Sus scrofa: one gene and its partner. The protein of the gene in region 1 purifies or fractionates together with the protein of each later gene. This does not show direct contact. Links are inferred from orthologs where the notes say so. Each region holds a gene or a part of one and is shown on either strand. Other genes may lie near its edges.

The links. The genes of interacting proteins can lie anywhere in the genome.
Region 2: the proteins of SLC16A11 (region 1) and EMB purify together in Homo sapiens (co-immunoprecipitation; 3 studies listed by BioGRID and IntAct, counting the BioPlex papers as one, with this or other methods). This does not show direct contact. The link is inferred for Sus scrofa from reciprocal best matches to the Homo sapiens genes SLC16A11 and EMB.

The regions. Positions count from the first base shown.
Region 1 is NC_010454.4:52,439,672-52,443,766, forward strand, and holds the start of SLC16A11 (monocarboxylate transporter 11), read right to left. Parts: upstream 2,806-4,095; 5' UTR 2,621-2,805; intron 2,359-2,620; 5' UTR 2,353-2,358; coding exon 2,151-2,352; intron 1,889-2,150; coding exon 1,745-1,888; intron 1,581-1,744; coding exon 813-1,580; intron 725-812; coding exon 495-724; 3' UTR 1-494. UniProt on the Homo sapiens protein: Proton-linked monocarboxylate transporter. It catalyzes the transport of pyruvate across the plasma membrane.
Region 2 is NC_010458.4:30,128,994-30,132,510, forward strand, and holds part of EMB (embigin), read right to left. Parts: intron 2,571-3,517; coding exon 2,291-2,570; intron 1,483-2,290; coding exon 1,449-1,482; intron 1-1,448. UniProt on the Homo sapiens protein: Plays a role in the outgrowth of motoneurons and in the formation of neuromuscular junctions.

The sequences.
Region 1 (4,095 bases):
GCTCCTGTGACATGTGGAAGTTCCTGGGCAGGGATAGAACCCGTGCCACAGCAGTGACCAGAGCCTCGGCAGTGGCAACACTGGATCCTTAACCCACTGTGCTGCGAGGGAACTCCACAGGTCTGGGATTCTTATATTTCCCTCAGGCCAGTGGAAGGAGGTTGACATGCAGGAAAAAGTTATCTGGGAAATGAGAATGGGGCAGCTAGCACCCGGGAGCACACCACCCCCTCTCACCCCCCCCAACCAGCTGAAGCTGCGAGGAAGCAAACGATTTCTCAAAGATTTCCTGCTGTAATGGGCAAAGAGAAATGGACTGCCTGAACAAACACCCTTCCTGCCTTCTGGGGCTTAGCGGGATCCTCTTCCTCTGAACCAGTGTTTATGGATATCTTAAGTCGAGCGTTTCCAGCATCCTAGATTGCCTAACAATTGGAGTTTGCAGGAAAAATCATAAAGTCTTTATTGGGGGAGGGGCTCCAACAAGAAAATGGTCAACAAGTGGTGTCCAGCGTGGAGCGAGGGCCTCCTGGGGAGAGCAGGGCCACCTGAGGGGCGGGGAGCAGCTCCCCCCTCTCCGGGGGAGGGGTGGCTGGACGCGAGGCTGGACGGCAGGAGGGCAGCGCTCTGGGCAGCCCCATGTAGACGAAGCTGCCCGAGAGGATGAAAGAGCCGCACACGAGGAAGGAGGCGGTGAAGTCTCCTGTTTCATCCCTTAGGAAGCCTGGAGCGGAGGGGGAAAGGACGTCAGAGGCCTCGGACCGCAGGTGCAGAGGAGGGATGCGAATGGATCTGCTGGCTCAGGCCCTTACCTGACAGGGGAGGGCCCAGAAGCCCCCCGAGGCTCATCAGCATCATCACCAGCCCGGTGGCCTGGACGACACCTCCGATGCCCACCAGCCCCGGGAGCACACCGAACACCAGCGGGGCGTAGCTTCCGGCGCTCAGCCCGTAGGCCCCAGCCACGGCCAACAGGGGGCCTCCCCAGCCCTCCTCGCTCCCCACCACGGGCACCAGTCCCACCGCCAGCAGCCCCAGCCCGGTCAGAGCCCCGAACATCGCCAGCAGACGCGGGAGGGGCACCCAACCCTGGTCCGCCAGCCACCCGCTGAGCAGCCGGGCGCCCGCGTCCCCCACCGCGGCCACCGCCACCACCAGTGCTGCCCCGTATCCGCCCAGACCCCGATCTAAAGCGTGAGGGGCCAAGTGCACGTAGGGGATGAAGTACCCGCCCGCCACCAAGGCCGTGCCTAGAGCAAAAACCAAGAAGACCCGGCGTGTGAAGAGATCTAGGCCGAGGGCTGCCAGAGGGCTTCGGGGTGGGGTCGGGGGGTCGCCTGGGAGCTCCAGGGGTCGCAGCAGGGCGCCGCAGGGGGTGAGGTGGAGGGTAACGGCGCCGAGGAGGAGCAGGGCGCCCCGCCAGCCGAAATGATCCAGGAGGAGCTGCAAGGCGGGCGCCAGGAGCAGCGAGGAGGCCCCGTTGCCCGTGAGGGCCAGCCCCACGGCCAAGACTCGACGGCGGGAGAAGTAACGTGAGAGGGTCCCAAGGGCAGGGGCGAACACCAGGGCCCAGCCGGCGCCTGCGAATGGATAGGACCAGGTGAGGGCAGGAAGCGGGAGCGCCCGCCCCCGCCGTCCCGGCCCCGCTGGTTGCAGGAGGCCCCGCCCCCTTGGCCTCTGGCCCCCAACGAGCTGGGCTCTGCACCATCACCCCTTAAGAACCCGGGTGTCCCTCCCCCCTCACCAGCAAGGACGCCCAGGCCAAGATAGAGGTGCAGCAGACTGCGGGCGAAAGCCGAGAAAACGAAGCCGAGCGAGGTGAGGACGCCTCCAACCATCACAACCGGGCGCGCCCCCCAGCGGGTGCTCAGGGCGCTGCCCACTGGGCCTAGAAGGGGGCGGGGTCAACGGAAGACACGCTCCCGGAGCCTCCAAAGTCGCTCCAACACTTCTCATTGGCTGTTTGCATGGCTTAAACGCCCCCCCGCTGTCTAGCAGCCCCTTCTCTTGCCCTCTAGACCCACTCTTCTTCTAGAACTTAGTTCCACCAATAGATTGTCTGGTAATCCATCAGGTGAGCCCCCCACCACTGCCCTCATGGCCCGCCCACCCCAGTTCCCGCCTCCCTCCTCGGGCCCCCCCCCCCTCACTGGCTGCCTGCTGCACCGCCAAGGCCAGGGCGCTGACCCACGCAGTGTCCTGAGCGCTTCGGTCAAAATGCTCCGCGAGGTCAGGGAGGGCGAGGCCCAGGGAGCGTAACAGCCCGTAGGAGAGCCCATTCACCACGAAGGCTGCGGCCGCCACCACCCAGCCCCAGCCCCCGTCCGGGGGTCCGGCTGGCTTGGGGGTCATCGCCGCCTGGGGGAAGGAGGGGAGATACCTGTGAGGCAAGCCTCCACGTCTGTGCTTCCTCTAGGGACCTGGGCATCCCTGAGGTCCAGCCTCTGGCTGTTTGCCCAGGGTGGGCACGTCACCCTGAGCACAACAGGACCGGGGCGGAGGAGAGGGAGCTAGGCCTAGGGATAGAACTCCCGGGTCCGCGCGAGTACAGGGTGACAGCCGGACCGCCCCCCCCCAGGCCTGAGACTCCCCCCCCCACACACACATGGGTCCCCCTTACCCGACCTCTCCCGGCGGTGCGGGGAGGGGAAGGGCGAGGAATGGCTCGGCCCGGTTTTCTCCCCGCTTTCCGGGCGGGCGGGGCCCCAGAGGGGAGAGAATGCCGAGATGGAGCCCAACTTGCACAGGCTCTCCGGGTAAACAGGGATTGCCACTGGGGGCCTGGGCCACCTGGGGCGTGGGGGGGGGGTTGGGGAGGGTACGGAGGGCGGGGGCGAGCGGAGACAGCCAATCCGCGGAGCCACGGGTGAGGCCAGACACCTAGTCCCACGGGGATTGAATTATCCTCCTACACCGCCCCCCCCCAGCCCTGGGGAAGGGTGGGGCGAGGAATGAAAGCCTCCCCAGCCCCGCCCACGCTCACGCACCTGTCGCCGGCTGCGCTCACCGGAGACCCATGGATCAATCGCCAGCCCAAGGTCGGTAGGCAACGCAAGGAAACCGGTGATCCTCCCAAAGCATGAAGGGACCAGTATTTTCGTTCCCTGGGGACGGTGCTGAAGACCCAGGTAAACCTCAGATCACAGACCTCCACCGAGTGCGTGCTGCGGCCTCAACAATATATGCACTCAAGGACGGAGGGGAAAGAAAGGGACTTCCTTGTGATGTGTTAGGGACATGCCATCTTTCATCTTTACAGTCACCCTGTGAAAAGGCTTCTCCCCATTTTACAGATGAACGAGTTGAAGCTTAGGCAGCTTAGGTCACTTGCCCCAAATCACCCAGCTTAAAAAAAAAAAATGGTGGAAATATTTGAGTTTGGGTCTGTCCAACTAGGAACCATACAAGGAGAACAGACGGGGGACTGAAGTAGAATCTGCCACCGCGGAGGGAAATGGCCTGGAGACAGTTTGATGCCAAGCTGACCTGGGAATGGTAGAGCCTTTCCAGGCCCGTGAGTTTGTGATTCTGAGATAGGGGTTACTGGGAATAGAAAGGATCCTAAGAATCAATGAGGATTTAGATTAGAATTTTAAAAACGAAGTAAGAAATCAGAGAATTGTACCCCGTGACGGATTTCTTGAAAAGATTTTTTGAAAGTACTCTTTTTACATTAGAATTGGGGTTACCAGTGATTTACTCCAGCTATTTGAATCAAGAGATGTATTTTTTGGTGTAATTATTAATATCCGAAAATTTGTGGCTTACAGTTTGGAGCATGCATCACCTGGCAGCCACATGGTGGCAGTGTTTCCTAATTGTTGAAAAAGTTCCTGCAAATAAAAGAAACACAGCTTCTGGATCAGTGAAAACTATGAGCCTAACAAGACAACATGACCTTTGCTGGCTCTCCAATGGCTAAAGGAGGGAAAAGCCCACAATCCTCTACTTTGAGTGTAAGGCCGTTCACAAAGGCAACCCAGGCTATCTTTCCATCCCCGCGCCCCCCCCCCTCACCCTTCCACAATCAGCCATTAGCTTCTCACCCTGCTCTGTGAGCAGGCATAACTTTTTCTCCTCAAGTTTTGTATATAT
Region 2 (3,517 bases), on another chromosome or scaffold:
AAGATAAAACATTCAAATCAATATAAATAAGATGTCCACATTCTCCATAAAGAGGTTCAAATCCCCTACAATCATGAGAATCTCTGATTCTAAAACAATACTTTTTTCCTTTCTTGAGTTACGGAACTCTTGATACAATTATTTTATACCCTTAATTTAGAAGCTCATATCCTGTTGGTATATTTTGCCTGCCATGAGTAACTATTTAATGTTTATGAATATCTACATGACAACTGTCTGCCTCCCTCTGGCTCATGAACTGTGGCTATAGCACTCACACCTCAGAGCAAGCCCCTGTTGACTAATGAAGATAAACTTCAAGTGTCATGGGTTGGTAAGAGTTGTTCAGAGCACCTATTTCCCAGGTTTCTTTTGGATACTTTAATATCATCTCATGTTCTGGCCCACAGCCCTTGGTTCTGTTACTTGGACTTTAAGCCCATTTGGGGGCACCTCCTGCAGTGGGCTCTACTTTCAATTCTCTGGCTTGGTAGAACCAACAACTCCCACCTTCACCAAACCAAACGATATCCCTAATAATTTTCTTCCCAGTTTTTTTCATGTTCAGCTCAACTCTAAACAAAGGATACTGTAAGAGAAATAGTGGCACGGTGTATGTTCTTTCAAAAATAATAATAGAATTCTATCTCAGTAATTTTCAATATGATAGAGAATCAGAATCAGTGATAGACACTGAAATACAGATGACCAGGCACCAATTCCAGACATTTTGATCTGAGAGATCTAGTTAGATCTGAGTAACTGTTTTTTTGTTTTTGTTTTTGTTTTAGCTCTTCACGGCTGCACCTGTAGCATATAGAAGTTCCCAGGCTAGGGCTTGAATTGGAGCTGCAGCTGCTAGCCTACACCACAGCCATAGCAACACCAGATCCGAGCCACATCTGCGACCCACACCACAGCTCACGGCAGTGGATCCTTAACCCACTGGGCGAGGCCAGGTATCCAAACCACATTCTCGTGGATACTAGTCAGGTTCATAATCCGTTGAACCACAATGGGAACTCCCTGAGTAACTGTATTTTTAAAGAGCATCCTTAAAATCAAAAATATAGATGGGTTGAGAATCATTACTTTGCTCAAATAATACTTTCTTTTGCTTACTGAGTGCCTTCTGTGCATCCAAGCCTGTGCTAAGCATTTTTACATACAGGAAGTCATTTAATCCAAAAAACTTACGTGGTAAGTAACATTATTAAACCCATTTTTTGAGGAGGAAAGTGAAGCACAGACAAGTGAAAGTAAGTGGTGGAGGGGGATTCTACTGCAAGCAGATGAATGCCAGATGCCACTCTTTACCACAGCATGGACATATACAGAAGATAACACACATACTTTGTACTCTTTTTTCTCTAACTGCAGACATTTAATTTCATATTTAACTGTATTTTACTTAAGTGAAAATTAAACTGTAAAAAAATAATACTTACAGCTGTTCAATTTGTTCAAATTCTTTCCCATCATCTGTGTAACAAAAGAAAAATTGAACCAGTAAGATTGGTTTATTATTCTTAATGGAGCATAAATGTTCAAATCAGCTTTCCCCTGAATTCAACACCCCCAAATGCCTGTGCTGTTTTCCTGCTCTGAAATGAGAGAGACAGAGAGAGGCGTGCTCCTTTAGACGGCTGCGCCTCCAGCATGTCCACCTCCTTCCCTGCTCGCCCGACTGCAAAACTATCTGGAGTTTTGAACAAGCATAGTTTTGTGCCTGGGTTTGCCAAAACAGGATCGACTGATTTGTAATTATTTAGGTTATTAACAATTTAGTATAAAATCAGGGAAAAAAGAATGTAGGATGAATTTTCTTAGGGGATGACTGGTTTCTCAGCCTGTAATCCATCAGGCACAGGCTATGAAAACAAAAAACTGACAGAATATTTGATATTCTGGATATAACTCCAGAATATTTGATAAAACTTTTAAAAAATGAGTTAAAAAATGAGTTAAGTGAAAGAATAATTGTTTTTGAGATCTTTTATATAAACTTCTACAGAATTTCCTAACATTCCAGTACCGAAGTACGTATTACTTAATTGATGTGTTGGTACCAGTAACATCAAAGGGGAAAAAAAGGGTATGTTTTAACACTAAAAATTTTTAAGAAGTTGAAACAGGAAGATCAATATAAACTCGTAGCTCACTGTAACCATTGATATTAACATAAATACCACCACAAATAACAAAAGTTAGATTTTTCCCAAAAACTCTAGAGTCACTGTAATGTATTAAATCATAACATGAGAATGTTATCTAAAAAAAGAAATCCTACCTGATGGCTTCTTTCTCTTTTGGGTATACATTTCACAAAGTAGAATAATAGCCACTAAAAGAACAACCTCAGCAGCTATCGCAAGAAATGCTTTGAGGGGTACCAAATAACTCAGCACGACAAGTTCAATGTGTTCTTCACTCTCGCCTAGTTGGAATATTGCATGGCACCAGTAGGATCCCTGATCTTCCTCTGAAAGTTGCATTATCTTGAGCCTTGTTTCATTAGCGTTTTTTCCATTGATCACATACTTATCGTTTGTTTGAACACCAACAGGAACCTAGTATAAGGAGACATTAAAATCCATTCCTATCATATTACATAAAGATACATGTCCTGAATGATCTAGTTTTGAGTGAAAGCTATAAGATATTGCCAAAAAAAAAATGCTTACTAGAAAAGACATATTAAAATTTGTGAGAAGTTGTACATAACAGAGCTCAAGTCTTATCAGAGTTTAATCTCTGAGGTAGCCAACAAAAGAAAAGTATGCTCTGCTTTAAGTACTTAGCACTGAGTGTTTGAAACTACAGTGGCAAGTCACTGTGCATAAATATTCTCTGGCAATTAGAAATAAAGAAAAATTCCAGCTATTAAGGTTTCACATTCTAATCCCTGAATAGTTGTTCAAAATACTTCCTCCTCCACAAGTGCAGGCATACATTCATTAAATCAACTATTTATTAATGAAGCTATTAAATCTGATAATCCTGTAAAGGAAGATCACTGGCTCCTGGTATTGGGAGTTCCTCAGACTGGAAGTGAGAATGACATCTTCAGGCCTTTTCAAGCCGATGTAAAGGAATGGTAGACATCCCCATGAGCCTGTTTGATGTGGTCTGCAAACCTTCTGTCTCTTCATAGCTGAATTTCTCTCTCAGACAAGTTGGTTTCTGAGATTCCTTGGGTTTTCCTTAGTCTTTTAACATCTGTACTAAGTTATTTTGGCACTAATTTATTTAATCCATTTAAATAATTTTATTTTATTCTCAGGCCATTTGATGTCTTTGTTGCTCTATCACTCAACTGCACTGATCAATAATGCTAATCTGCATTCAAATATTCTTAGAGGTTATCTGATGAAGTTTCTGTGAGTATAGCAAATGGAGACTACATTCTAAAAGTTTAACATAATTAGATTAAATCTATTTTTTGCCTAGTATCACATATGTATAAATTAGGCTATGCATTTCAAAAAATATGGCTGTTTTTATAAGTTTACATGCT